Linked DNA regions of Elephas maximus indicus. The protein of the gene in region 1 interacts with the protein of each later gene in a pairwise test. Links are inferred from orthologs where the notes say so. Each region holds a gene or a part of one and is shown in the gene's direction. Other genes may lie near its edges. The genes, in order: TRIM27, NCK2, BAG5 and PSMB3.

Region 1 (8,018 bases):
CAATTTCATCTTGCAGACATGATTTTAAGTTTCATTAAGTTGCCAATATTTAAAAGTCAGCAAATTTCACATAAAACTTCAGATTTCTGCCTTCTTGTGAAAAATCTAAAAAATTAGCAATATGCTGGGCCCTCATTCCCAGATGACATTATAGGCTAGTGATGAGAAGTAGCCTCTCAGGAGGGACATCTGTCTTCCAACTGGACACCGTCTCTACCTTTCCCTATTGTGTCTCTGGCCTCGTCTGCTCACTTAAGTTACCTTCTTGCCTCCAGTCAGTATTTGTGTTTGCACTACTGTCATTTTGAACTGCCAACCTTTCAGTTAACACCCAAGAGCTTAACCCACTGCACCACGAGGGCTGCTTCTGACATTTTACAGATAAACAAATAATAAGAGTTATAGTTTTTCTGTTTAAAATGGATGCGTGCATTACTCAAGTTGATGAAAAGGAAAATGCTATCTGACTCTTGGCCAGGAGGTATCATAGCATCTACCCCATTGTCCCCTAACCTGGAAGGTGGGAAAATGGCACAACCGTGAACATGTGTGAGGCAGAAGATAATCAGCTACATTTTGGGTGTGTCGATAGCTTGAGATGGCTGGAATGGATAACAGAGATGCAGAGGGCAACCAGATGATAGTACTGAATAAGTGACTCAAGAACAACAGAAAGCAAAACACTTGATAACATTAAGTATGATTCTTCATAAAATGCTGCTGCTGATTAATCTGCCAACTGTATGTATTCAATGAAGGTACAGAGGTTGTGCTAAGGGAATAGAGAAAAAAGATTAGGGACCATCAGAGAAGAGAGATGCCATGGCATTTGAGTTGGGCCTTAAATGATGGAGACCTGGGGTTTGGGACAGACAGGCTGAGGGGTTGGCATGGCAAAGGTGGAGAATTGACTGGGCCAGAGTGTGAAGCAGGGGATGGGGACACAGAAAGGCCAGAAGGCCTTAGTAACTGCAGAGCTAGGATTCCAGGTAAAGAAATTGGGCATCTATTCTGCAATAAAGCCAGACGCCCTCTGCGATTTTCTAAGAAAATGAGGGCAAAATCCAAAAAAAAAGTAAGGGTTATAAAGATGAGAGATATACATAAAACGTGACAGTGGAAGCATTAAACTGCTAGTCTAATAGTTCAAATATTTATGGGCTTTTGATATGGTTAGAGGTACGTGTGAGAAATAACAGAGAACATACAAGAAGGTCTGATGAGGAGTCCCTCCCCTCATGGACTTAATTATGTGAGCTTGGTTTCCTTATTTATAAAGTGAGTGTATTAGACTACGTGAAAGCTAAAATCACTTCCTGCTCTAAAAATATGTCCTGATTTAGAGCTTTGACAGAAAAGCAAGAGTTTCATGCAAGGCAAAGTCAAAGAAAGTCATATGATAGAAAATAAGCAAGTGCCTTGTGAGGTTCTGTGTGAACACAGGAGCCTAAGCGGAAAGAAGAGAAATCAATGAGGCCAGCCTTTTTCAGATAAGCTCTAAGGATGGGGTGGGATTCTTGAACAGGCCTTGTAGAGAGGGTTGTGGCAAGACTGGAGGTGTTGTTTGAGGACAGTGAAGGTATCAGCCTGTGTTGGAGGCTGGAGGTACTCAGATGGGACACCATCTTAAAGGATTTGGACAATGTCCTAGAGACAAAAAAGGAAGCATTGAAGATTTCTCAGTAAGAAGTGGCAGAATGAAAGAAGCATGTTAGGGATGTTTAAGGATGATTCTTTCCCTTGAGGTGGTAATCACTAGAGGAAAAAGTAACAGACTAGAGGAAAAAACTAGAAATAGGGACACTAATAGGAAATGGTTGCATTTATCCAGTTATTAATTCATTTCAAAAACATTTGTAAACTGACTATTGTAATAACTTAAGTCAGGGTGTGGTGATTGAAATAAAAATGAATAGAGGCCAAGTTGAGCAATAAAAGCAAAGCAAGAAAAAGAAAAAGAAAATTTTTTTCAAAATTCCAATAAGTCTAGAAGATAAAGGAAAGACAATAAAATCATTCTTTCAGCAAACTTTTATTGACCATTAGCCACATGCCAGGCAGTATTCAAAGTCAGACAGAGTAGAGTTTTGCTCCCAAGGAGCTCTCAGTTCAGTGAGGGGAACACACAAAGGAATGCAGGATGTAGTGGTAAACAGTAAGTGAGCTCTCACAAGAATTCTGTGAGTAGGTAGAAAGGCTTCACTGCATTTGAGAGGAATCTTAAATGTTACCTAGACAGAAAAAGTGTATGTGACAAAGGCTTTATAAGCAGATAAACCAGCAAATTCTAAAGTAGAGCATCTGATCCCTCTTATCTCAGGGATACAGACCTGTAGTTTGGCTTTGTTTTTCAGAATTGATGGTGTTATCAACTCCTTGTCAACCCCAGAGGTGGGTTATGGATAAAAAAAAAAAAAAAAAAGGAAAGGTGGGGTAAAATAGGTAGGTTGAATGGGGATGAATGGGGATGGGTGAGAGAAAGGGGAAAAGGGAAGACTTGCACTTGGTAGTTTCTACCAAAGGAGCCCTGCCGGTGCAGTGGTTAAGCACGCAGCTGCTAAATGAAAGGTTGTGGGTTTGAATCCACCAGCACTCAGCTGGAGAAAGATGTGACAGTCTGCTTCCATAAAGATTACAGCCTTGGAAACCCTCTAGGGCAGTTCTACTCTGTCCTATATGGTCGCTATGGGTCGGAATTGACTCATATGGTGCACAACAACAGTAATGTCTACCAGCCCATTTCCTTCTTGAATATTCAAAATGCCAGTGACACCTTAAAAATGGCCACTGTGGCCGCCTGCACCGTGAATTTAAACTCTTTTAGGATAGCGGAGATTGGACCATGGGCCGGGCCTTAGGAGGCCCCAGGAGCTTGAGACTCAGGGAGAGGTGTGTGGGTGTGGAAGAAAACACTAAGCTGAGGGAGCTTGATGGTCATACCCATTTCTGAGTTGGAGACATAGAGAGCTCTTACTGTTCCCACCCTGTTCCCTTTCCAGTGTGTCTCAATTGAAGTGGCAATTCAATACTCATTATTTCTGGCTAGAACCCAATCTTTGGACAAATCTAAGTATTTGAAGAAAGATATAGTCAATGTATCAGTTTTTACCGGGGGAACTACCATTTTCCCAGCTGACAGGCACAAAGCCACTCATCTCCCTACCACAGTTTCTCCTCATTCTAGTTTATCCTTTGTTGCCTTCAGTTATTTTCCTAGAAAACAAATTCTGACCTGTGGAAAAACTGCTGGTTCCTTGTTCCTACAATACCGAGTTCAAACTTTCAGAGAGTGACAGACAAGGCCCCTTCATGGTCTAGCACCAACCGCCTTCTCTAGCCTTGTCTCCATTGCTCGCACACACACACACACACACACACACGCACACACACACACTACACTTCAGTTACACCAAACTTCTCACATCCCATAAGTGAATATAAGGCTTTTCCAGATGTTTTTTAGAAGTGGGCTGGGGCTATCCGGAACTGAAATTGCATACTGGGATACTCAAAAGAATGTGGTTTGGAAGGGGGATATGGGCTTGAGGTTGGCAAGTCCAGTTAGTCTGGTCGATGTCTTGCCCCATAAGTGAGGAGGACCAAAGTGGAACTTTTAAAGTGAGGAGTAGGAAGCAGAGGCCCCTCTTGCTGGTGTACAAGGATGATACTGAGAAAATATCTAAGGAAACTAGGAAATAGCAAGGTAGGGATGAAGGAGCAACACAAGAGCTTTAAGTCTACTAGATGAGAAAAGGCCTGCTGGTGTAGAGGTTAAGTGTCTACGTCTGCTAGTCAAAAGGGTTGGTAGTTCGAATCCGCTTGGTACCCCTTGGGAACTCTATGGGGCAGTTCCACTCTGTCCTTATAGGGTCGCTATGAGGCGGAATCGACTCGATGGTACGTACTGGGCTTGGTTTTGGTTCTTTTGGTGGACGATGAAAAGAGAATGGGCATTGTGGAATTCCAAGGGCTTGGGTCACTGCAGGTTTCTCAACCTTCCTATGCTTTGGGAAGGAACAAGCAATTTTTTAAAAGTTCTACTCAAAACAACCTTTAAAACCCTGTGGAGCAGTTCTACTCTACGCACGTGAGGTCACCACGAATCGGAATTGACTCCATTGCAACCAACAACGACAACATGCAGTAGCTATTTTATTGCTATTTTCATAGTAATTAACCCCATTGCTGTCGAGTCGATTCCGACTCATAGCATTATGGTTCAAAAATAAAGGTATAATAAAGTCTCCTTCCTCACTAGGGGTACAGTTATCATTCCCATTCAATCGGGCGGGGGGGTGGTGCGGGGAGGGGAACTATAAGCCCAAAACCGTAAACCAGCTTGTTTGGGCACAGACGGAAAAGTAGCAGAACTGGGCTTGTCTGACTCCATTTACAACCCACAGAAACGATAATTTGCCTAATAATTAAGCCTTAAAAAAAAAAAAAAATCCAAGAGCCTGTAAATGGAGCTGTTCGATAAAGTGTATCTGTCTCACATATCGGGTGGGGTGCAGTCGGTTCCCCCCGTCCCTCCGCCCCATGGGGCAGGCCAGATGTCTGTGCTTCCCAGATCCAACACAAAGCCAGCTTTCCCTCTCAGGAGCTGAGGCCTCGGCACAAAAGAGGTAACCCAACAAAAGACTAGGGGTCCAAGACCGGGAAGGAGCGCGGAAGCTCGGAGGTGGGCCCGAGCATGAAGGCTGGGGTGACCCTGTCACTGCTGCGCCCGGCGGACACCGCCTGCCCCTGTCACAGGCTCCCGAGGCTCCTGCTCCAGCGCGTTCCGCCCAAATACCGGCGGCCCCGCCACCCAGTCCTTTCTGGGAGGAAACAGTCCAGGCCTGGAGGCCACAAAACCCTGTCGCGCTCGGGAGGCCCGGCCCAAGCCCCGCCCCCCCGAGCCGCCTCTTCCGTTAGCGCCGGGGTGGGGTCTACACGGCCTCGGGGATCCGCTAGAACGAGGCCACGTTGTCCTGCGCGCTTAGCGCGCCTGGCCCCGCGAGTCCGGTCGGCTGCGCCCACTTCCTGGACCCCTTGCCTCGGTACGGGTCTCCGTGGGACCGGAGTGTCCCGGCGCCCACGCAACGGGGCGCCGAGAGGGGCCCCGCCACTTCGAGTCTCCAGCGCGCGGGCGCGACCGGGATCTGCGACCAGCATCTGGGCCCGGAAGGCGCCGCCCCGCTCACCTCCCCGCGCGTCCTGAAGTGGAGACCCGTAGGGAGCGCAGTAGAGTGGGGCTCCGCGCAGAGCTCAGCGAAGGGGCCCATGCCCGTGCGCCCCCGCGGGCCAGCGCCATGGCCTCCGGGAGCGTGGCCGAGTGCCTGCAGCAGGAGACCACCTGCCCCGTGTGCCTGCAGTACTTCGCCGAGCCCATGATGCTCGACTGCGGCCACAACATCTGTTGCGCGTGCCTCGCCCGCTGCTGGGGCGCGGCCGAGACCAACGTGTCGTGCCCGCAGTGCCGGGAGACCTTCCCGCAGCGGCACATGCGGCCCAACCGGCACTTGGCCAACGTGACCCAGCTGGTGAAGCAGTTGCGCACCGAGCGGCCGTCGGGGCCCGGCGGCGAAATGGGCGTGTGCGAAAAACACCGCGAGCCCCTGAAGCTGTACTGCGAGGAAGACCAGATGCCCATCTGCGTGGTGTGCGACCGCTCCCGCGAGCACCGTGGCCACAGCGTGCTGCCGCTCGAGGAAGCCGTGGAGGGCTTCAAGGTGAGGGCCCGGCGCGCGGAGCGGGGAGGGGCGGGGAGCCGGAGTCGGACAAAGGGAGGAGAGAGCCAAGGGGGTTTCCTTTTTTCCGCCTAGAAAATGGCTGAGCCGGACGTGTGGTTCACAGCCGTCATTTCCTCTCTGTCCGCTTCAGAGCCTTCGCACTCAGATTTGGGAGAAAAACCTGTAGCTGGTGAGGAAGCCAGAAGTCTCCCCCACCCCCCACTCTGCTTTCCCTGTTATACCCCTGTGTTTACCCGCTCACGGACACGTAGTGTATAAAGACGGCCCCCCGTAGAGACCTCCCCACGCTCCCACCCCCCACCCCCACCTGGACATTTTGAAAGGTGTGAGGAAAGCGACATACACATCAGCCACCTTCAGAGACACAAGTACTCCTGTGGGCTCTGATCTCAGACAGAACACACCCGGAGGTTAACTGGCTGTACATACATCGAATCAAGCCTATAAGCATTTCACCAGCACTTCCCTGTGCTCTGGCCTGTTCTACAAGCTCCTGGAAAAGAACAGAGCACTTTACTGCTTGGGCAAGTCATTTAACCTCTCTGAGACTCAGGAGGGTAACAACACATTATTATGAAGATTAAGTGAAATATGTGTGGAGCCCTTTGTGAGCTGTTGGATCAACAGACTGACACAGCTAAACACTAACATGGAAACAAAGTATTAAATATAAGTTTTAAGGCAACATTCAGGGAATGCATGATGCTGTGATACCTGTATACTTGAGTGCTGCAGGGATACACAATTATACATGTTTAAATGTGAGTACATTAATACATAATTTGCCACTTAATGTTTAGAGTGCTTTCACTTAATTATTTCACTCACCTTCATGATAAACACTGAGTAGTTTGGGAAGGTGGTGTTCATTCACCCATGTTATAAAAAAAATGTTATACATGGGGAAAATAAGAGAAGTCATTTTCTCAGGATACCTCTGTGGAGGAGTTAGTTTGGCTTTAAGCCTCTTAGTGCAGTCACCTTCCCAACGAAACTACAGTATCCTTCCTGGGGAGAAGGTAATCCACTGTTTAAGATACACACAAACAGACAAAGGAGACCCTTGGTGCCCCCCTGGGTTCTTGGCCTTTTTCTCCGTGGTGGCAATGTGGTCTAAAGACAGGCTCTAACCAGGGTCTTGGCATGAGGTGTGTGGGTTCCATGTGTGACATGCAGAATAACCATGATGATGCTAAAGTTTTCCTAATCCTGAACTGGCAACTGTCATGGTTTCCTCAGGAGCAAATCCAGAACCAGCTGGACCACCTAAAAAGAGTGAAAGACTTAAAGAAGAGACGGCGGGCACAGGGGGAGCAGGCACGAGCTGAACTCTTGGTAAGGGTCATCACGAATGATGGATAATATTACTTCTGCTGGCCAGTCATTCCCTCTTCTCTGGGCTGATGCTACTTCTGTTATCTTTGTTCAGCCAGGTCACCCACAGCTGTTAGGTGCAGTTGGGATCTCATCTGGACACCTAATAGATAACTAAGCTTATTTCCACATTTTGGGGAAAGGATGGAGGAACCAAGGTGGGAATCCCTGGAGATTCTGACCTTCAAAGAAGATTTAACCTGCTAGCTTTGTATAGATCAGCATTGATCCTTGACAGAGCTGAAACAGGTGAAATTTGGGGCATACTTAGCTTCCTTTCATATCATCCTGTAGACAGGAGCTAATAGTGACTTTGAGTAAGCCTTGCTGTTGCTTCTTGCCTGGAATATTCCTATCCTTGACAGTTTATCAACTCTGAACTTTTCATTTTGCTCTCTTCCCCCATCCTTCCAAAGCCTTGCCAAGTAGCTCATGTGCTTATTTCTGATAGGAGTATTTGGGCGTTTTGTTTTTGAAAAAATATATACATGTATATATCAAAAAGTACAAAAACTTTTGCAACACACACTTATATTTCCACCACCCATGTGTTTATACTTTTTTATGGGCAATAATTAAAATAGTACAAATATTCTTCCAGTAGAGATATTTGCATCTGAAAAGCAAACTCCTAAACTAGTAATGTCTAGTCCTGTCTTGTGAGAATTTTTGTTAACTACTCCTAGCCATGGTTGCACAGTGGTTAAGTACTACGGCTGCTAACCAAAAGGTTGGCAGTTCAAATCCACCAGGCGTTCCTTGGAAACCCTATGAGGCAGCTGTGCTCTGTCCTATAGGGTCGCTATGAGTCGGAATTGACTCGACAGCAATGGGATAGGTTACTCCTGGCCAGGGTATGGTAGGTAAAGCTTTTAGGCAGGAAGCTCTTTCCCATGGTACCCTCTGATT
Region 2 (6,942 bases), on another chromosome or scaffold:
TCCTGGGTGCATGGAGCCACTGGACAGTTTCTGTTAACTCGGTACGGCCCAACGTACTTCCTCAAGCACCCAAACCCAAACCCAGTGCCGTCGAGTTGATTCCGACTCCTAGTGACCCTATAGGACAGAGTAGAACTGCCCCATAGAGTTTCCAAGGAGCACCTGGCGGATTCAAACTGCTGACTCTTTGATTAGCAGCTGTGGCACTTAACCACCATGCCACCAGGGTTTCCTCCTCAAGCACAGTAACGTGTTAATTAAAAGATGAACAAACTTGACTTGTATTTTTGAGCTGATTGAGCCACCGTGAGTCAGTCGACTCAATGGCAATGGGTTTGGTTTTGGTTTTTATTATAATAGAGTTATTTAAAAGAAAGGTGTCAGATGTTTGGGCAGGGGCGCCATTTTCTGTAGGTAGCCGCTGGTCGTGATGGGTTAATAGAAACTTTCAGTGGTGCCAAGCACCCACAGGTGGTACAATACCTGCCATACCAGCCATACCCCAGTTCTGCCTCTGCCAGTTGATCCGTACCTTGCAGTTAACGATGAAGGCAGGATCTGCCCAGCGCCACTTGCTTAGTGCAGGTGCCATGAGAGGCTTTTGTGCAAGGGGAGGGGCAAGAGAGAAGCCGGCTAGGAAGACATTGATATTCCATGTAAATCTGGGGGATGGGAGGAAGTGAGGTATGGGAGGCGAGTTGGAAGGTAGTGGGTACAAGAGGAAAGAACAAGAGACTTAGAGTCAAGAACATGAGGGTTCTGTTCCCAGCTCTGGCACTTACTTTTTCAATTTTTTCATCTGTAAAATGGGGATAATATTGTATGTGAGTTAGAGATAATATATGTAAGGAATTCAATAAATACACATTACAATTATTGTTAATGATATAAATATTAGGATGGTGGCATTGGAAATAGAAAGGTACTATCAAAGAGATGTTTAAGAATCAACAGGACTCAGAATCACAGGAGTTTAGACCGAAAGCGATCTTAATGTCCTCTAGTGCCGCCTCCTTACTTTCCTTGGGGAGAGCTAAAACAGTGGGGATGAAAAAGTCCTGGCAGCATGAGCTTTCTACCTTGGGAGCCAAGGTGCATGGTGCACTCCTGGGCAAGCCTGAGAGATGGTGGGAGAAGGAGCTAACTCGGAAAAGTGATGAGTTCACTCTGAACATGCTGACTTTGATGAGACAACGAGTGGCCTACAGGAGAGGTCTTCTGGGCCGCTGATAGTAAGGCATTGGAGTGTAGGTAAGAGATCAGGGCTGAGGAGGTATCTAAGGCTACAGAGCTAGGAGTTATTGGCTGAAAGTCCAGCTTGCAAGATATAAAAAACCATTGTCTCTCTTAAAAAAAAAAAAATCAGAATAAAAACAAAAGGCCAAAGTCAGCTTTGGGAATATTACGGTTACAGGTTGGGGAGTCAAAATACCCCACAAAGAGACAGATGGGTGGGCAGAAATGTAAGAGAATCAGAATTAGTCATTTTAGACAAATGAAAAGATGATCATGTTTGAAATATAGTAGAAAGGACACGTTTCAGAAAACTGTACAGGATGACGTTTGAGGAAAAGACCACTGGGTTTAGACAGAGAACGCCGTGGGTGACTTTAAGAAATTACCAGAGGAAGAAGAGGAAACACTGGGTGAAGTTCACACATCCATGATTCAGTCAAAGTTTACAAAACAAGTAAAAACTAGGTTGATATCATTATACTTATTTTGAGTACGTTCATTTAAAACTGGGCCAGACCATGACTGGACTTCTGTTTTACTTATTGTAAAGCTGTTGTTGTTGTTAGCTGCTGTCAAGTAGATCCGACTCATGGTGACCACATGCACAATGTGATTGGGCCATCGTGATCCATATAGAGTTTCCATTGGCTGATTTTTGGAAGTAGATTGCCAGGCCCTTCTTCCTAGTCAAAATATTAGTAAAACAAGGTTTTCACAAAAGGATGAATCCAAACCAAACCCATTGCCATCAAGTTGATTCCAACTCATAGTGACCCCACAGGACACTGCCCCACAGAGTTTCCAAGAAGTGCCTGGTGGATTCGAATTGATGACCTTTTGATTAGCAGCTGTAGCTCTTAATCACTCTGCCACCAGGCTTTCCTTAAAGGATGAATGGAGGTCGCTTTTTTTCCAGCATCACTGCAGAGAAGAATGAAGATGTCCTGATTCCCCTAGCCCCTCCCACCAGAGATTGCTTAATGGGCACCACCTACTGCCAGGGACTGTGTCAGGTGGGTTAACATTACATTCCCATCTTGCAGAGGAAGAAACTGAGGCGTAGAAAGGTTAAGAGATAATTTGTGCAAGGTCACACAGTTGGGGAAACCAACAGTCACTGAATTGACTTCAAAACCATACTGACTCTAGTTACCTATCCTTGGATACTTCCTTTAGGGAACGCGATGGGATTTGTGAATCAAATAATACTACCCCGTCACTTTGGATAGATCATTACTGCTTTAATAATAATGGAGAAGCCAAGAATCTAGGAAAAAATCTTAACATGGAGACATGCCATCCCACTAGGACATCAGGATTATTTGCATGTTCAGGTTTCCTTTGGGAAGCCATATGGGAAGGGGACTGGAGAACAGACATCTGCACGCAAGTGCCTGCGAAAGTGAAACTTCTGTCTTTGCTCTTCCTCCGGGGTTTTAAGCTTCCAAGTTTGTTTACAGGTAAGCGGCAACTTGGTGCTGAGTGAACCAGTCCCCCACTAGTGACAACTCCTTCTGGGCCCACAGTCAGGCAGCTCCTTATGGCGTTCTGTCCTCGTGGGTGAGTGTGCAACCAGAATCCAACTGGCTCGAGCTGGTGACGATGCAGGGGAGGCAGCAGAGTTTGGGTTTCCTCTCCTCCCCTTAGGAAGTGCCTCCAACAGGGATGATGGAGCAAAAACTTGTCTGGTTAGGAGTGTAAACAGATGCAAGACAATCAAAAATATCCAAAAGCAATTACTGGGAGGCAGTGACATTTTTATGTAAGTCACTTTTCTGATGGACAACAGACCTGCTTTGCAGAGTGCCTTGGGGACGCTTCCGGGAGGGGGACAGTGGCCAAACAGTGCACTGATAAGAAAATCGAACTAAAAGGATGGGAAAGACGACCCTACCAGTCATTTAAGGCTGGAAGTTGCTGCCTTATGTTCATTCTCGTGCCTCACTCCCAACGGTAAAGGTACTTTCTTTTCTCTCCGCACATGGTACCGCGTTTCTCCCAGTATTTACCCGTCGCCAAGCGGCTCGCGCGCCACCCAGGCTGAGTATTCCCTTGCGTCCCTGCTATTCTTTTAAGCGTTCCAGGCCCTGGGCCGCCGATCTTCCACAGGGCCCCCGGCCGGGCCCGACAGCCTGCCCGGTGTCCGGTCCCGGAGAGGCGGCCGGAGGCTGGGTGCGGGCACGGATCGCACGCGGGGCGGCGGGGCGGGCCCGGGAGAACCCTGTGAGGAGGTGGCCGCGCCCTGTGCTGCCCGGGCGCCCCCAGGTGGGTCTCGGCGGCCGGCGCCCCAAGCACCCGGGGCCTGCGGCCGCCCCGCACGGCGTCAAGGCGCGGCCGGGGGAGGAGCGGCAGGAGGAGGCGGAGAGGGCAGCGAAGGGAGGGCGCAGAGGAGGAAGAGGAGCGGAGGAGGCGGGAGCTGGGCGCCGGGGGAGGGGTTGCCGCCGCCGGGGCTTCGTCAGGCTGAGAGCCGCGGCGGGCGAGCGAGGCGCGGAGCAGCGGGCGAGACGGGCGGGCGGACGGCCGGGCCTGGACGCGGCAGGGCCGAGGCGGCGACAGGGCTCAGCGGCGGCCGGGCCGGGGCAGCGCACGCCGGGCCGCGGGAGGGGGCGAGCGGCCGGCGGCGGCGCGAGGAGGGAAGCGGCGCAGACAAAGAGCGGCGTCTCCCGGGTGCTGAGCGCGGCCACCGCCGGGACCCCCGCGCCCGGCCCTCCGGGCGGCGCCGCGCGCGGCTGCCTCTCTGCCCTCGGCGGGCGGCGGCCCGGCCAACCCCTTCGCGAGGTAAGCGCCGCCGCCGGGGAGCACGGCCGGGACGGGCTCGGGGCGCGGGGGCGCGGGGGCTCCGCGGCCGCCGCAAACTTGTGGCCGTTCCGTGGAGTTGGGAGCGCGGCGGGGGCTCGCGGGGCGGGGCTGCGCCTGGAAAGGGACTCGGGGGACTGGGTTCCCTCTGCCCTCTCCACCGGGTCCCCGGGCCCTGCCGCGCGCGGCCTGGGGCGCCCCCTGCCCCGCGCTGTCTGCCCCTGGGGTCGGGCAGGGCTGGGCGCCGCACTTCGCAACTCCTCACCTTTCTTCTCGCCTGCCCGGCTCGGGCCCCTTCGCCGCCGACACTCCTGGAGTGTGGGCACTGGCCGTGGGCAGGCAGGAGGGTGCGGGAGCCGGGGGCTGCCGGTCGACCCCGCGAAGCTGGGACTGACTGACCCGGGGAGCTGGGGAGCCCCGGGCAGGCAGGGAGTAAGCGGCCTCCGAGCCAGCTGCGGGGACGAAGCTCGGGGCCGGGCGTGGGCGTGCGTCCTCCTCGGGGTCACAGCAGGCCCGTGGGGGTGGCCGGGGTCGCTGGGGCGCGTGCGTCCTCGGGAAGAACAGCCCTGGATTGCAGGGCTCCTGCGCAGGGGACGTGGGAGGCCGAGCTTTGCCGAGAGAACTTACTGTCCTTATTGGAACTATTTATGAATCCCCGCACAAAGCTGCTGTCATATCGCATAAAAGAGGTCCTCGCCTAGGCGAAGGGCGCTTTTGTGGCGGATTCAGCCGTGTCCTGTCCCAGATTTACTTGATTCTGTTACAGCCACCGGAACCAAAGTTTCTCATCACAGCTTTGCTCTCCTGGCTTATTCAGGACGATTTAAGTACGAAGTGGTTCCGAAGAATTTGGTGTGTGACTCCTAAGGCATTGACTGTAACTCCCTCACCAGCTTGGTTTTTGGGGGATATTGTATGGAGGGGTTTAATTTGCAAAACGCTTTAATTTGTAGACAATAAAGATCACCGTGGAAGGTCTGCGGGGGACGCTGGGGGTCACTGGCTGATGAACGTCAGACACCTGACTTAAGATAAACACTTTAACAGCTTCAGGGTCAAAGCAGTAATGTACCTGGAGTCTGCCTCAGCCACTTCAGACAATTCGGTTTGGCAGTTTCCCCTTTATTTGGCTTGTTTATTTTGCGAAGAGGTTTAAGGTCCATTCGGCCAAGTTTTCACCCCATCAGTTGGCTTCTCCATAATCAGTTGGCTTCTGCATAGTGCGAGCAAACCCCAGTGCTGGGCAAGAAAGGCTTACCAGCATCAAGTCCGTCTCCTTCCATTGACCCATAAAGAAGCTGCACTCTGGCCAGGTGGCTCCCTTTCCACCCACAGGTAGGAGAGTCCCCAGTCCCAGGACAGCCCTGGCTTCTTGAAGTAGATTTTGTGTAGGAATGAAAATTCGGGGTGTGCTTTGTGCCACTGTTTTTGATACAGTTGTAAACAGTACTTCTCAGTCTTAAGAAATGAAGGAAAAAAAGTGAAAATGAAATTTACCTGGGGCTGCTTTAATTTATCAGAACAGAAGTAAACTTTGCCTCTGAACACACTGGTAACTCACTCGCCAAATGTTCCTAGGTAAAGGGCAAATAAGAGAATTCAAGCATGTGCGTGGTTTATATAAATAAATGTTCATGATAATCAGTGGTAAACGTGGAGAAGAAATGTGGGATGTTTGGGTCTGTTGTTGGGTGCTGTCTAGTTGATTTTTACTCATGGTGACTCCTTGTGACAGAGGAAAACTGCCCCATAGAGTTTTCTTGGCTGTCATCATTAATGGCAGCAGATTACCAGGTCTTTGTCCCATGGAGCTGCTGGATGAGTTCAAACCACCAACCTTTGGTTAGCAGCCAGGCGCTTAACCATAGCGCCACCACGGTTCCTGGTTTGGTATAGATAAATTGGTTTTTAGATGTTGTTGGAGACAGATTTTCTGACGAGTGGGTGTGAACACGGTTTGTGAAGAAGTGACCACACCTCGATATTTCTCTCTCCTCAAGGTTGGTTTGATGTAGTTTTGATTGAAGAAAGTGGCAGAATCTTAATGGTGGTCTTAGGACGGCTTCATGCTGGAATTCAGAACTTGAAGCCAGTTGTAAGCTTGTGGAGGTGCCTTACTCATCTTCCTCTGCACCTGGGCCTGAGCTTCTTAGCTGCTGGGTAAACACTGAACTGGATTGTCACAGAATTCAGGATGTAGCTGGTGGCAAATTGCCATAGGAGAATTGACTGCTCCTTAAGCCCTGTGTCCACGAGGGGGGAAACCCATACTTTTTAGGTGGGTGAGGCATGTCTAAGGTGCATTTTAAATAGCTGTGCTCAGTTTCCTATCTGTTAAGAGCTAGCTGCCAACCAAAAAGGTCACCAGTTGGCATTGACCAGCTGCTCCTTGGAAACCCTACAGGGCAGTTCTACTCTGTCCTGTAGGGCTGCTATGATTCGGAATTGACTGGGCAGCAGTGGGCCTGGTTTTCAGTTTTTTTGATGCTCAGTTTCCAGGCTTTGAATTTTGCTCGATGGTAAGTTTTGGTCAAATCGTTATACAGCTGCATCCTGAATCTTCTCTGTCAGTCTCACCTTCTGGCGTTTGCGTAGGGGGTTATTGTTTTCCAACAAGCAGCAGCTCTTGCGTACACAGTGTTTGAGAAATGAATTATCATCTATGTTAAAGCACTGGAAATTCTCTGCATGTGCGCAGACTGGATAACCTTTTAAAATACTCTAAAGACTTCCTGATCGCCTGGAATCTTTTCCTTTATCACTGACATTAGCTAGATTTGCCCCGGCTAGGCCAGGGCTGTGCTGCTGTATAGAACACAAATGCTTCTAATCGCTCAGACAGGCCTGCAGTATACACTGGGGGAGACGCGGCTTGTGGAGGTGGGTCTTCGCCTTTAAAAAATGAGGCTT
Region 3 (6,915 bases), on another chromosome or scaffold:
AAAGCAAAGACGAGAAGGCACGAAGGGACTGGAACACTGGATAAATGTAAACAGGGAACCCAGGGTGGAGGAGAAGGGGCGAGTGCTGACATATTGCAGAGTTGGCAACCGATGTCACAAAACAATTTGTGTATTAATTGCTTAATGAAAAACTAATTTGCTCTGTAAAATTTCACCTAAAACACAATTAAAGAAAAAAATTGATAAAATACATGGCAAAAAAAAAAAACTAGATAAAAAGGCAGACTGGGAAATGTATTTGCAACAGATAGAACAGACAAAAATATTGGTATCTGTAATAAAAAGTTTCTCTGAATTAATAACAAATAGAAAAAGGGCAAGGGCGAGTCATTGAAGATAAATTTTAAAGGGTCAACAAACATACGAAAAGACATTCAAACCTGCTAGAAGTCAAGCAAGTGAAAATTACACAAGGAAACTGCAGTTTTAAGGCACCCAATTGGAAAAGCCGAAAAGGGGAGGAATCACATCCGGTGCTGTCAGGGAGACAGGCCTTCCCTCGTTTCTGCAGAAGTGACCCGCAGCACCTTTTCTGAATGTGAAGGAGCCCTGGTGGCGCAGTGGTTAAGCATTCGGCTGCTCACGGGGTTAGCGCTTCAAATCCACTAGCCGCTCCACAGACGAAAGCTGAGACAGTCTGCTTCGTAAAGATCACAGCCTTGTAAGTCCTGTGGGGCAGTTCTACTCTGTCCTACAGGGCCACTATGAGTCGGAGTTGAACCCATGACAACGGATTTTTTGAATGTGATCTGACCATATCTAAAATGTTAAAAATCCATTCTTTTTGGCACAAGAATTCCAGTTTGGAAATCTATCTTACGGGAAAGTAAACGCAACAGTATGTAAAACCATCAAAAAAAAAAAAAAAAATGACCTCTCGATGCCAAGGGCTTGTATTTTTGTTCTTTGTGATCCAAAAATTGCTAGAAAATGATTTTTAATTCCTTAACTTCTGTGTACAGGACTATAACACATACATTCGTTGTGTCCATGCCTTACAGACTGTACAGCTTTGAGGAAGTGACTTTACTGTGCCTAAATTTACTCATCTGTCAAGTGACGATGCTAAAAGTAACTACTTCATAGAATTGCGAAGGTTAAATGCATTAAAATGTATAAAGTTCTCAGAACAGTGCATGCAACCGTTCAGTCAACGTCAACTATTACTATGAATGTGACTAAAACTCAGGACTGAAAATAAACATTACTTCATGAAACGTAACCAGTGGTTCTCAAAATTGGAGGGTTATTTGACTCACCCTCAAAAATCCTGATGTCCAGGCCACACCCCAGACCCACTCACAGGAGAGCCGCAGGGGGTGGGCCCCAGTTCTGTGTAAGGTCTAACCAATGGTTCCAAAGCACAGACAAGTTCAAGAACCAAGGATGCAAACTACACAGACAAGGAACAAGCTGCAAACACTTACGAGCTGAGTTTAAGTTGGGTTTGGAAGGGAGAATGGTGCCTAACTATCATATTTCTGTTAAAACTCGTATCCAGAGATGAGAAGTGGGAACAAAGCGTGCAGGTACTGAAAGCCAATCTCTTTAACTCAAGCAGAGGGCAGAGCCAAGAATTAATGAAAAACAGACGCAGTGTTAAAATGTGTATCTACTTAGATAACGAAAACAGTATAACGACCTGTCACTTTTGGGAAGACCTGACATTTACACTCAGCTCCTGAAAAACAGCAATCTCTCCCTGCTGCAGAAACTTAACTACCTAGAGAAACTGCTGTGCACTCAGGAAGCACACAAAGGTGGTGACGAAGGAAATACAAACTGCCCTACAGCAGAAACTGTTTACAGTCCATCCAGGATCCAGAATAATGCAGCACTCAGATCCTACATAAAAAACAACACGAGTCATCGCTACAGTTGGGCAGGTTCTGACTCACAGGCCAGCCTCCGTTTTTTACTGGGTCATCAGCATCACAACAGGTGTGAGCGGTCTAGCAAGTGCCCAGCACTGGGTTTGCCTGTAAGTCTCATCGTGAGGATCCAACCCAAGGTAAGACCGATTTTACCTTAACAAAAAGCCTGCATGACAACAAGGAAGCCTTGTCTGGGTGAAGTCCTTTTTTTTGCCCACTAGCTCACAATATTGGAGCCCTGGTGGCACAGTGCTTAAGCGCTATAGTGATCTATGGCTGCTAACCAAGAGGTTGGCAGTTTGAAACCACTCCTTGGAAACCCTATGCGGCAGCTCTACTCTGTCCTACAGGGTCACTACGAGTCTGAATCAACTCAACGGCAATGGGTTCAGTTTTTTTGGTTTGCTATGCAGGAGACCTGGGTTCAATTCCCGGGCAATGCACTTCATGTGCAGCCACCACCCATCTGTCGGTGGGGGCTAGCATGCTGCTAGGACGCTGAACAGGTTTCAGCAGAGGAAGACAGACTAGGAAGAAAGGCCTGGCAATCTACTTCTGAAAATCAGCCAACTAATCATGGGGATGGCACAATTCCATCGTGTATGGGGTCACCATGAGTTGGGGGCGACTGGACAGCAGCCAAGAACAACAGCAACAGTTCACAAAATAGGGAAGTGTGCCATAAGTGGCTAAGGCACTCTGCTGCTAACCAAAAGGTTGGTGGTTCAAACCCGCCCCGTGGCTCCACAGGAGAAAGATCTAGAGATCCACTCCGAAAAGATGGTTGTTGTTGCCGTTTGGTGACATTGAGTCGGTTCCAACTCATACCAACCCTATGTACAACAGCATGAAACAGTGCCTCGTCCTGCGCCATCCTCACAATCGTTGCTATGTCTGAGCCCACTGTTGCAGCCACTGTGTCAGTCCATCTCATTGACAGTCTTCATCTTTTTCGCCGACCCTCGACTTTACCAAGTGGGAGATTACAGAAAAGATTTTTACCTGATAAGATGACAGCCTAGGAAACCCTAAGGAGCAGTTTTACTCTGTCACATGGGGTCGCTATGAGCCGAAATCCACTTGACAGCACCTGACGACAACAAGCCCTCATTCTGGGGAAAGCTCTTGGTTGGTCTGTAGTTTGCTTTCCCAGAGCACACTCTGTTGTGAGCACACTCCTGCCCAAAGACTGAGTGAGACGCTGCTAGGCTCCTGCGTCCTAGGAACACAGAGAGGGCTGTGGCCACTCTGACAGGGAACTGAGCGGGGGGGGGGGGGGGCTGGGATCTGGCTAAACAACTGCCCTGGTGGCTCCTCGACTAAACTATAAACTAGACAGAACTTCAGGGCCAACGTTTATGAAAGTGTGTTAAGAGCCTGAGACCAACAGAAACGAACATCTCCAGGCAGGCTCACTTTGGAATTCTTAATTGGTTTTTTTTTTATCCTTCTTTAATTACTGTTTTAAACAAGCTGTCCAGCCTCCCTCATTAGCACCTTGGCAAATGAAGCGCCTATATATTTCCTTTACGTATTTTATCTGCAGCCTATTCCCCACCGCAGTCAATGTTTCCATTTAACAGCTGGAATCAAGCCCCTCCCCCACCCCGCAAAAAAAAAAAAAAAAAACAAGCCCACTGCTGGGGAGTGGATGCGGACTCACGGTGACTTATAATAGGATTTCCAAGGCAGTAATCTTTCGGAAAGCACACTGCCACATCTTTCTCTTGTGGAGCAGGTGGGTTTGAACCCATGTTTCAGTTAGCGGCCGAACTCTTAACCACTGCACCACCAGGGCCCCACTCAAAGCCTAGGCCTCCCTTGAACAAAATATCTTTCATAACAGAGCAATTTATAATTATAAAAACTGTCTGCCATTCTTTCTTGTACAGACTTTAATCTTTGTGGATTTTTGGCCAGCATACACGCACCTCATTTCCAAACCAGAAAAACTCTTCACCGTGAAGTCCTAGAGAAAAACAAAGGTCGCCATCGCGTGAGGAAAGGTACTAACAATCTTAACGACGCCAAGTCACCAACGAACAGGCAAAGATACACGAGCTTTAAACACGGAGAGCAGCTGTCCTCGAGAATAAAAAGGTAGGCACAGACTTGCTGGCCGACTCGGACTCGGCACACGTGATGACAGTCCTACTGGTCCACATGCACCCTGGTCCCCGCACCCAGACCACGGGGTTGACACGGGAACTGCGGGCCACGGGCTCACTGCGGGCCACCAGGTCACCTGCTGCTCTGAACCCTGCCTGGAGCTCAACTCACGCCACAGTGGGGGAGACGTGAGGTGCAGGGCCAGGCCGCCTGGAGGGGTGCAGGGTGGGGGTCGGTCCCGAAGTGTGCAGGGTGGGGGTCGGTCCCGAGGGGTGCAGGGTGGGGGTCGGTCCCGAGGGGTGGGGGGCTGGGGGGTCGGTCCCGAGGTGTGCAGGGTGGGGGTCGGTTCCGAAGGGTGCGGGGCTGGGGGTCGGTCCCGAGGGGTGCAGGGTGGGGGTCGGTCCCGAGGAGTGCAGGGTGGGGGTCGGTCCCGAGGGGTGCAGGGTGGGGGTCGGTCCCGAGGAGTGGGGGCCTGGGGGTCGGTCCCGAGATGTGCAAGGTGGGGGTCGGTCCCGAGGAGTGGGGGGTGGGGGTCGGTCCCGAGGGGTGCAGGGCTGGGGGTCGGTCCCGAGGGGTGCAGGGTGGGGGTCGGTCCCGAGGGGTGCAGGGTGGGGGTCGGTCCCGAGGGGTGGGGGGCTGGGGGTCGGTCCCGAGGAGTGGGGGGTGGGGGTCGGTCCCGAGGGGTGCGGGGCTGGGGGTCGGTCCCGAGGGGTGCAGGGTGGGGGTCGGTCCCGAGGGGTGCAGGATGGGGGTCGGTTCCGAAAAGTGCAGGGTGGGGGTTGGTCCCGAGGGGTGCGGGGCTGGGGGTCGGTCCCGAGGTGTGCAGGGTGGGGGTCGGTCCCGAGGTGTGCAGGGTGGGGGTCGGTCCCGAAGGGTGCGGGGCTGGGGGTCGGTCCCGAGGAGTGCAGGGTGGGGGTCGGTCCCGAGGGGTGCAGGGTGGGGGTCGGTCCCGAGGGGTGGGGGGCTGGGGGTCGGTCCCGAGATGTGCAAGGTGGGGGTCGGTCCCGAGATGTGCAAGGTGGGGGTCGGTCCCGAGGAGTGGGGGGTGGGGGTCGGTCCCGAGGGGTGCGGGGCTGGGGGTCGGTCCCGACGGGTGCAGGGTGGGGGTCGGTCCCGACGGGTGCAGGGTGGGGGTCGGTTCCGAAAAGTGCAGGGTGGGGGTCGGTCCCGAGGGGTGCGGGGCTGCGGGTCGGTCCCGAGGTGTGCAGGGTGGGGGTCGGTCCCGAGGTGTGCACGGTGGGGGTCGGTCCCGAGGGGTGGGGGGTGGGGGTCGGTCCCGAGAGCTGCGGCTCGGACGCCTCGTCCCTGACGACCACTCCTTCCGGTCCAAGCTCTCGTGCGCCCCGCTTACCCGGCTGGGCGCCGCATCCCTGCGCTCTGGGGCGAGCTGGCGGCGGTGGCCAGCGAAAGCGCGGCAGAGCTGGGGGAAGAGGGCCTTACTCCTGGGCCCCAAGGCCGCCATCATTGGCGTCCGCCCGGCTCCCGCGGCGCACGACAGAGGCGCGACGGCGTCAGAGACCGCCTTACGGCAGTGTCGCAAAGACTAAGGCGAGGGGGAGCGCGGCCGACCGTGCGCTTTCCCGGCGGTTCGGGGAGGCGGCTGCGGGCACCGCGGGGCTGTGGGCGAAGGGGTGACGGGCGCTCCTCGGCCGCGGCCTCCTCACGCTGTCGTGCACGCGGCTGGCGGCGGGCCGTGGGGGGGCGCCGCGACTGAGGGACGGCTCCCCGGGGCTGGGGGCGTTCGGCCCGGGGCGGGGCTGCGGCGGCCGGGCGGAGGCGGGAGCCGCAGAGGCTGCTGAGGCGGCGGCCGGAGCGCGATGGAGCGGGCGGAGCAGGTGAGCGAGCGGGCGGGCTCCCTCCCCGCCGGCCGGGCTCCCTCCCCGCCGGCCGGGCTCCCTCCCCGCCGGCCGGGCTCCCTCCCCGCCCCGGGCCGTGCCGAGCGCGCCGCCCCCTCTGCCGCGGCCCATTGTGAGGTCAGGGCCGGCGGGCGCGTCGCGGGACCCGGGCCGAGGCCCCCGGAGCGGCCGCTGCGGCCAGTAGCTGCCGCCGCCCCGCCGGCCCCTGCACCGGCCGCCCCGTCCAGACCTAGCCGGGAGGGGCGAGAGGGATGCAGCTCGGGGCCCCGCTCCGGCGCCTCACCCCGTGAAGGGCCGCCCGGCCACCGGCCAGCTCCGCGCGGGAAACCCAGGCGCCGGCAGCCCCGACCGGCTCCGGGTAAAGGGCCCGAGGGCCGGGCGGGGACGGGGGCGGGGAGGGCGGGCCGAGCTCTTCGCGGGAAGACGGGCTGCGCTGCTCACCGCCGATGCCGCGTTCCGGGGGGTGTGCTGGCGGGGGAAGGGGCCCGAGCCCCCCGAAGCCGCAGGCGGCGCCTCTGCAGGGCGACTAAAGGGCGGGTCGGGACCGGGCTTGGAGAGGCCCGGAAAGGCAGGAAGACGGATGTAGAAATGGGGACTTCGGGGGGTGTAGGCCCCTCCGGGGCCTGCCTAGGGGCTCAGGTCCTTTTGCTCTGAGTTACTTTTTCTGGAAACCAGACATAGCTGTCTTGGAGGGATGGGGTGCTTGGGTGGTAGGGTTTATGCTGCGTGACTTTCCCTTCCGTGCATTCCGCAGGTGCCCTGCTCATTCTAGCGTTAACACCCCAAGTATTTGTGTTATGCCGAACTGCTTGCATCTTATAAAGGCAGACGTAGGCGCCTCTCTTTTTACGATGGCTGAAACGCGACATCCGCAGGCCCCGGGTTCCCCTGGACGCGGCAGTAACCACTGTTCCTAATAGCTGCCAGGCTGGGGGGAGGGAGTTGGTATGTCACTCTCCTTGCTGTACCTGAGCATAACTGTCTTCTGGGTTGCGGTAGGGACAAGCCCCTTCTTTAAGTATGTCTTTTAATTAATGTGTGATTGCCATTCTTCA
Region 4 (7,923 bases), on another chromosome or scaffold:
GGGGTCCGGTGGGTCTCGGGGAGGGGGGGATGGGAGGGAGGGAGGGAAGGGAGGGGAGGGGGGCCGCAGCCGTGTCGTCCGCTCTGGCGGCAGGAGGGGAGAAACCTAGCGTAAGAAAGGAGTTTGTGAAAGCGGCTTGGGGTGGGAGGGCGAGAGGGGAGGGGAGGGGACGAAGGGGGGAGGGGAGAGACGGGGCTGGAGGGGGGACAAAATGGCTTTTTTTCCTCCAGACAAGAGTAGGTCCCGCCCACTACTCACCCACGTGACCTCATTCCTTCAGGGTGTTTGCGGAGAGGAGAAGAGGAGGGGGAGAGGCTAGCGCGGCGGTTCCCCACCCGGTGCTGGCCCCCTCGCAAGTACGGACACGACCCCTCCCTTCCCAAACAGCCCCCTTCTGCGACTGATGGATGAATCCTTGTCTCTGTGACCCCCCGCACTTAACCCCCTCCCCCCAAAATTTGTGTGCCTCTTCCCCTCCACTGGCCCTGCGATCCCCGCCCGGAGCTGGAGCGCCTGGGATATAGTGAAATGAGGACTAGGCTGCACTGTGGCTCACTCCGCAGTCTTCCAAGCCTCAGCCTCGACCTAAGGGCCCTGGGCCTTGGGCAGTGGACGCGATGCCTCCGCCACGCGTCCAGGTTATTTTCATTCACTCCAAGTTGACACTGCTTTAAAATTAATAACTGCATCTATGAGACTGAGCTTGTCCGCTCCGCACCCTTTTGCCCCTCTCAGCAGCTGGATCAGTGGCTCTAAAACACCTTGCTCCGGGTCCCAGCCAGGGCGCCTCGGGGAAGAGGCCTGGCGCTGTGGGGTCCCCTCTCTACCTGTGTGGCGCCGCGGGGGAAAAGGGGCGAGGTCCTAGCACGCTCTGGCCCGAGGGAGGAGGTCTCGTGGTTGGGACTCGGTTAGCTGTAGTGGCGGAGAAGAATGGAACGCAATCTGGGCCCGGGCGACCAACTAGCTGAAAACGGACCGGGATACAATAACTCGGGCGCAGGCGAGAGCCACAATGGCTAGAAAACGAGGCGCAGGGGCTCGAGGCTGGGCCCGCGCTTTTTCCTGCCTAGCACCGGTTCCCGCATTTTCCGCCCGCGCACTATCGCGGGGTGGCTGTGCGCTCTGTGCGCCTTCCTCGCCGCCGTGGCGGGAGGAGCCCGGGGAGCGCCCAGGCGGCTGGAGCCAGCTGACTCCGACCGTCGCTCCCGGCTCCACTCAGCGCTCGGGCTCGGGTCCCCAGAGGCTCCGGCCCGGGAAGAGAGCGAGCAGGGAGGCTTGGAAAAGCCAGGAGGAGCTGCTGAGACAGGCGCCGGGGAACCGCATAGATATTATGTTACGGCCACGGTCCGTGGGGCTCAAGAAGACGGTCGATTCTTTATTCAAGATTTTTCAGGGCTCGACGCCGTGTCTGTCGGTCAAAAGAGCTGGATTATCCGCCCAGAAGCGCCATTAAGCGCACCGGCGGTTAGTGGCTCTACAGGAAATTAGGAAAAGAAGCTTCGGAGCGTCTGCCTACTCCTTTTCTTCCCTACTTGCTCGCAGCCCAGGGGCCCCGGACCGAATGCTTTCACCCTCTGGTCGGCAACCAGAAGACTTGCAGACACCGGCCGCCAAGCGACCCCAGCGTCAACCTCAGCCCACACGGGCTAAATGGGGGCGGGGAGGAAAAGGATGGGCGGGAGAGATATCCGTCCAGAGTAGGTGGCCCGGGACCCGCGGGAGAAGGGCCCGGAAGGATCCGGTCACCTGCTCCCCTGTCACTACACCGGGTGGGGGGCCGCGAGTTCACCGGCCCCCACAGGAGAGGGGGCTCTTGGCGTGGGCACTCCCACTGTCCCCACGGCAAGTGTGTTGCCCGCATCCTAGACTCTGCCAGGGAAGACTCGCGAATCCTGCTCTGTCCCCAGTCGTTCTGTAAGGGTCAACTGGGTGCGGCAAGGACTCCCGGTCTGCCCCCACTTTGGAGTTAGAAGGGGACTGGATTAAGAGAAACCTGTAGGGACCTTGGGGAGACTTCAGTCTACGATCCACAACGGGCACCTAGGGGCTGCCCCTGGGGAGAGTATTAGCTAGTGGGAAAGGGGCTGACTGTCCCTGTGCGTCCCCACTATCGTCCATTAATCCTGGAGGGCCGCCAGAGGGGGCCAGAGTTTACTGGTGGTCCATTCTCTTATTCTGCAGACAATCATTAACCGCCACCAGAGAGGAGTATGCTGAAGACCTCCCACTACCCAAACCTAATTTTTAATCTTTTTTTTTTTTTTTTCCAGTCCTCATTGACCAGTCCCCAGGTCACTGGCCTTTCTGGCTTAGCAGGAGAACCTTCTGACCCAACCCTTCCCACACATGAAGTTCTTTGGTTTTCCAGTCTTTATTCCATTAACTGACATAGAAGCACCTGTCATGTACCAATGTCAGCCACTGTGCTAGGAGCAGGGGACACACAGGAGGGATACACAGTGCCACTGGAGCTTATGGGGAGGGCTGTATTGCTGGCCTTTAGAAGAGTGACCCTCATCTTAATGAGCATGGATGAGCACTGGGAGGGCGGTTTAAGCAACATGTTGAGAAAGTACATCTTCGGAGGGAACACTTGACAGGGAACTGCTTGAGAGAGACCTTGGTTGTATTCTCCCCCACAAATCTGGTCCTCCTGCCCAGTGCCCTGGGATGGCCTCTGGCAGACATTAAGAGCCAATGCTTCCCTCTTGATTTTGTGTTAGTCGTAGTACCTCGCAGGGTCCTCGTGCTGACAATTATTCATCAAAAGAGTCACTGCGTCAGTCAGATTAGAAACTCCAAGAGGACAGGAACCCAGGAAGTCTAGGTAATTATTTCCAGCACACACCACGAGCTACCGTAAGGTGAAGGCCCCTTCAAGATGGTGATGATGTCAGGAAAGGGCAGCTTCTCCTTCTGTTTTGACTGTCTACCTCTCTCCAGGGTCGCTATGAGTCAGAACCAACTCTTTGGTTTTTTAGGTTTTACCTCTTTGCGCTTTAGGTAGATCCTTCTGTCTCCCCAAAACAATATCCTTTGTCAGTTTCTGCTTCTATTTCTCCGTCCTCCTCCCCACTTCTGCGTGCACATTTCTGGGGAAAAAAACATTTTGTTACTCTTGTTTTCCTTTTTCTGATGCTTGTGTTAAATGCTTCTCTTTTCCCTCTCTCCATTTTCTCCGTGGGGCTTCCTCTCATTCACCCTGCTTATTTCCATTCTCTCTGTGTGTCTCTTTCTGTATATCACAGCTGTGTTCTTTCTTACCTTTCTCTTCTTGCCTCAGTTTGTCTCTGCCAACCTCTCTCTCCTTAGTCTCCTCCCTTCCAAATGTAATATTTGGAGATTGTAACATCGATTGAGGCAGACAATGGGAAATCGTTCAGCCTCCAGTGCAAATTTATTCTTATGAAAAATACAACCTGAAACGTATTGCACGGCCAGACAAAAACCTCTGTCTTTGCCTTTCCTGCAATCCAGCTTGGGGGAGGGAGGGGTGCGGTGGAGGGAAGTGACGGAGAAATTATCCCATTTACTTATTGAACAACAAAGAATTTTCAACAATGATTCTCTGATTTGCTATATGAAAACTGTTGCCTTTGTCGTTTCAGTATGAAATTTCATTCTTCAGGAGTTAGGAGCAAAAAGCTCAGTTTTTACCCCCCTCTTAGTGGAAAGGAGTATGTATACTCGGAAAACAGGGGGGAAAAAAATACACACACACAAAAAAACCCCACAAAACCGAAGCGTCCCTGGGTGGGCTCGAACCACCAACCTTTCGGTTAACAGCCGAACGCGCTAACCGATTGCGCCACAGAGACCGCGGTAGTTATCGAGTGGCTGTGAGTCAAGTCAATGGGAGCGAGGCTGTGACGGCGCAGAAGCTAGACCTGAAGCCCGGTAATGTGGTGAAAGGAAGCCGGACCTAGGAGAAAAGGGGAAGGGGCCTGGTACAGGGCGGCGGCGGGAGGGCAGGAGGTGGTACGTACACACCTCTCCTCCATTGACCCCGGGCAGGGTCGGCATCAGTTACCCCCGGAATCTACCTTCGACGTGAGGAGACCCGGAATGTTCCTTTTGAGGGTAACCTGAGACTTGGGGACATGTGAAGCCGGCTGGCTTGGGGGTCTCGAAAAGCGGAACAACCTCCGGACTCCAAACCTCTCCTTTGCAGCTGAACACCTGCAGCAACAAAATACTCCCGACACCCCCCTAACCCCGTACTATTAAATATGCATTTAATAGTCGCCTCCTACAGCCTGGGCACTGTTCTAAGCCAGTGACTGTCTAAAGCCTGACACAGCACCAAGAGGTCTGGTGGTGCAGTAATCAAGCTCTTGGCTGCCAACCCAGAGGTGGGTAGTTCGAACCTACCAACCGCTCAGCGGGGGAAGCTGTGGCAGTCGGCTTCCGTAAAGGGTCATATTTTACAGTTGGAAACCCTGTGGGGGCAGTTCTACTCTATTTTATAGAGTCGCTAGGACTCAACGGCAGTAAGTTTAGGGTGTTGAGCATAGTGCCTGGCACACGAAAGTGCTCAGTAAGAATTTCTGGAATGAGTGATACCCCGGATCCACACAACATGCCGAGAAACGTTACCCGGGGGTCCTTCCGCTGGCCCCATAGCCCGCCACCCCAACCCGCCCCGCCCCGGCCCTACCAAATCCTTGCTACCCCAGCCCACGTGCGGCGTGGGTCCCGCCCCCCGCTTTAGGCTCCAGAGTTCGGGTCCGCCGCGATCCCAGCACGCACCGCGACGCAAAGGCTCTTCCGCACTAACAGTGACTTTTCACTTTCCTCTCCCCCCGGCTTTGGCCTCTCAACTAAACTACGTAGCGCTGGTGAGTGACAAGGATCCAGAGCCAACCGGAAGCCCAAATGGCCCGGAAGAGCTGGCCTTCTAGCCAATGGAAAGAAAGCAGCGAGAGTGGTTGCTCAGTGAGGACTGCTGCGGGCTTACTGGGCTCACGGCGGAGTTTGGGGGTCTTGTTACACCGCAATCATGGTGAGATGGGGCTCGAAGAAAAGGGATACGGGGTAGGGACTGAGGAAGGAGGAGGGGGGCAAGGGAGGCTTGGGAGGCATAGAGAGCCTGGTGGTCGACGGACAGAAGCGGCTCCAGTTTGAAGGGGAGCGGACCGCGTTGAAGACCAAGGGGGGTGAGTGTGGCTTCTCGCAGCCACGCAGGGTAATCTCAGAGCTGGAGTGCGAGGCGTCCAGCCGCCCCCACCGTGGAGGATGGGGCGTATAGGAGCCTCCGGAGCAGGGGCTGGATCGAGGGCTATGGTCACATCAGGCCCCCCAGCCTGAGCTGCTTCGCCCCTGTCTGCTCCAGTCTATTATGTCCTATAACGGAGGGGCCGTCATGGCCATGAAGGGGAAGAACTGTGTGGCCATCGCGTCCGACAGGCGCTTCGGGATTCAGGCCCAGATGGTGACCACAGACTTCCAGAAGATCTTTCCCATGGGAGACCGTCTGTACATCGGCCTGGCGGGGCTCGCCACTGACGTCCAGACTGTGTAAGTGTCGGGGTCCCTGCCCACGCCCAGGCTTTTTCTAGGACCAGCCTTGCTTAGCGCCTTGAGTGGTCTGGGTGTCCGTTATCTACTTAACATGTCCAGTATCTGAGACTTTGGCGGACATCCTAGCAATATGAAGAAGCCCTGGTGATGCAGTGGTTAAGTGCTTGGCTAGTAACCGAAAGGTGAGCAGTTGGAACCCACCAGCCACTTTGCTGGCAGAACGATGTGGCAGTCGGCTCCTGTAAAGATGATGCAAACTAATGAGTGTCAGAGCCAGGGTCCTAAGGCAGGCCTCTCTGAGACCAAAGCCTGTCCTTAAAGAACTGCAGATCTAGTTGAGAGACAATACAGAAAGGTAACTAACCCATGATGAGTTGGCGCATACTAATTACCAGGTTATTTAGTTGACAGTGGTTATGTGACTTGAGAGAAGGAGGCTGGGAGGTGAAATAGGTAGCTCTTGTGATGGCCCAGATGTGGGGGTTATGGTCCTAATGGGGTGGTTGTGGCAGAAAAGCAAAGGAGTGGGTTTCTGAGAGTTGTTGCTAGCAAGCCTTAGTGGCTACTTGGATGTTTTGAGACCAAAGAAAGTCATTTATTAAGGGCAGGAACCATGTCTTTATTATTTTTGTATTCTTACTGTGTAGAACAGTACCTGGTATATAGACAATCCATAAATTTTCTCACAGGTGATTTCTGTTTTGAGCATGTTGACTGAAATATGGGAATTGGGAGGACTAGTTTGAGGGAAAGATGATGACTTTGATTTTTGACACCAGTTTTGAGGTGACAAGGCAAACCAAGTAGAAACGTCTTGCAAGCAGAGTTTTGAAATTATATCTCAGGAATAAAGAGGCATTGATGATTTATTAAATCTATGGGAGCAGAGTCTAGAGAGACAAAGTATGTAGAGGGAGAAATAAGCTGCAGTTCAAAAGTTGGACCTTATATTTCACTGGAGGAAGAAGAGAAGCCAGAGGAGAAGGTGAGGGAAAAAATCAGGGTAGGGTTTCAAGGGGGATGATGTGGTCACAGGTGTCAGGTGCTTCAGGAAGGATTAGCAGCAGTCCCTGGGCTTTTTTTCGTAGAAGGTCAAGAGACTGGTTCACTAATGTCAGTGGAAGCTTGACGGAAAATTTTCTCTCATTTTCTTAAAGTTCCCTAAGTATCAGGAACGTATATAACTTTGAAGTCCTTCCCAAAACCTAACCTAACCTGCTCTTTTTCCTCGGTAGAATCAGAGAATTACAGTTTAGGGTTCCCTCCAGTGTGAAGGCCCCATCAGCCTTCCTCTCTCCAGCCTGCTGTTCTTCTCACGCCATTTTCTTTTCCTCAGGAGGGTTTTCTCAATGTGTTTGGTTGCTTGCGGGCAGTAATTGCTAGTTTCTCTAGGTCTCGGTTTCCTCACCTATAAGATGATGCTAAAGTCACGTCCAGGGCTCTTTCCAGGTCTAGTGTCCTGCAGCTCATAGCTTTGCCTCTGGCAGGTATGGCTTTGGTCTGCTCTGTGCAGGGGACTGTCCTGGGGCTCTGAGTTGGTGCTGGAGGAGGGAGGAGGTGTGATCCTTTTTCCCTTCCAGCCCATTTATGCAGCAGCTGCTTGTTTTTAATATGCATAGGACTTTGCAGTTTTCCAGTACCTTGTCATATACCCATACATTATCTCTCTGCCAGGGTATTTATTTTATTCCATTTCCTTACGGATAAAAAGGTTAAGTGGGAAGATGAAGGCTTAGCCTATGTCTGTGCTCTCTTATCCATTGGTCTTACCAGTATAAGTTTTCTGTGACTTTATATCTGCAGGCACATACCCCATAAAAGCGTGGAAGGAGCTGCCCATTTTATTGTAGATAAATTGTACCTCAAAAAAGAGGAAAAAATTCATTTCCTACCTCCCCACCTCCCAAAAAAAAAAAAGGATGGGAAGAAAGGTTAGCAAAGCAGCATCTTCGCAGGGGTAAGTGTTGCGGCATGGAGTCCTGAACATGGAAGTGAGACTAGACTTCTGGTGAGAAAAATTGAGGAGAAGAGAGGAGTCTTGGCAGGCATTGAGATTGTATGCCTACCTGCTTACTTCCTGACTTCCACAGGGTGGACACTAGGAGACATTCAGCAATGACTTTCTACTTCATTTTTTACTCCCACCACAGTGCCCAGCGCCTCAAGTTCCGGCTGAACCTGTATGAGCTGAAGGAGGGTCGGCAGATCAAACCTTACACTCTCATGAGCATGGTGGCCAACCTCTTATATGAGAAACGGTGAGTAGAAGTATAGCCTATGGCTCCAGGACTCTAGGAACCCAGGAATCTTGACTGGGGGCCAAGTAGGCCTGTAGTGTTGGTCACGGAGCGGGGAGGAATTCCTTCTTGTTCTCCCACTTATTTGCAAGACGATATCCTTATT

The links.
Region 2: the proteins of TRIM27 (region 1) and NCK2 interact in binary tests that used the Homo sapiens proteins (3 or more experiments, as listed by UniProt). The two-hybrid records come from large-scale screens. The link is inferred for Elephas maximus indicus from reciprocal best matches to the Homo sapiens genes TRIM27 and NCK2.
Region 3: the proteins of TRIM27 (region 1) and BAG5 interact in binary tests that used the Homo sapiens proteins (3 or more experiments, as listed by UniProt). The two-hybrid records come from large-scale screens. The link is inferred for Elephas maximus indicus from reciprocal best matches to the Homo sapiens genes TRIM27 and BAG5.
Region 4: the proteins of TRIM27 (region 1) and PSMB3 interact in binary tests that used the Homo sapiens proteins (3 or more experiments, as listed by UniProt). The two-hybrid records come from large-scale screens. The link is inferred for Elephas maximus indicus from reciprocal best matches to the Homo sapiens genes TRIM27 and PSMB3.

The regions. Positions count from the first base shown.
Region 1 is NC_064819.1:85,514,578-85,522,595, reverse strand, and holds the start of TRIM27 (zinc finger protein RFP), read left to right. Parts: upstream 1-4,915; 5' UTR 4,916-5,294; coding exon 5,295-5,714; intron 5,715-6,974; coding exon 6,975-7,070; intron 7,071-8,018. UniProt on the Homo sapiens protein: E3 ubiquitin-protein ligase that mediates ubiquitination of various substrates and thereby plays a role in diffent processes including proliferation, innate immunity, apoptosis, immune response or autophagy.
Region 2 is NC_064835.1:79,825,978-79,832,919, reverse strand, and holds the start of NCK2 (cytoplasmic protein NCK2), read left to right. Parts: upstream 1-3,843; 5' UTR 3,844-4,014; intron 4,015-6,942. UniProt on the Homo sapiens protein: Adapter protein which associates with tyrosine-phosphorylated growth factor receptors or their cellular substrates. Maintains low levels of EIF2S1 phosphorylation by promoting its dephosphorylation by PP1.
Region 3 is NC_064828.1:117,819,912-117,826,826, reverse strand, and holds the start of BAG5 (BAG family molecular chaperone regulator 5), read left to right. Parts: upstream 1-3,902; 5' UTR 3,903-3,995; intron 3,996-5,355; coding exon of another isoform or gene 5,356-5,469; exon of another isoform or gene 5,470-5,503; intron 5,504-5,743; exon of another isoform or gene 5,744-5,839; intron 5,840-5,914; exon of another isoform or gene 5,915-6,218; intron 6,219-6,915. Other genes in the region: cytochrome c oxidase assembly factor 8, read right to left, coding at 5,356-5,469. UniProt on the Homo sapiens protein: Co-chaperone for HSP/HSP70 proteins. It functions as a nucleotide-exchange factor promoting the release of ADP from HSP70, thereby activating HSP70-mediated protein refolding.
Region 4 is NC_064837.1:46,318,349-46,326,271, forward strand, and holds the start of PSMB3 (proteasome subunit beta type-3), read left to right. Parts: upstream 1-4,881; 5' UTR 4,882-4,999; coding exon 5,000-5,002; intron 5,003-5,332; coding exon 5,333-5,517; intron 5,518-7,670; coding exon 7,671-7,778; intron 7,779-7,923. UniProt on the Homo sapiens protein: Non-catalytic component of the 20S core proteasome complex involved in the proteolytic degradation of most intracellular proteins. This complex plays numerous essential roles within the cell by associating with different regulatory particles.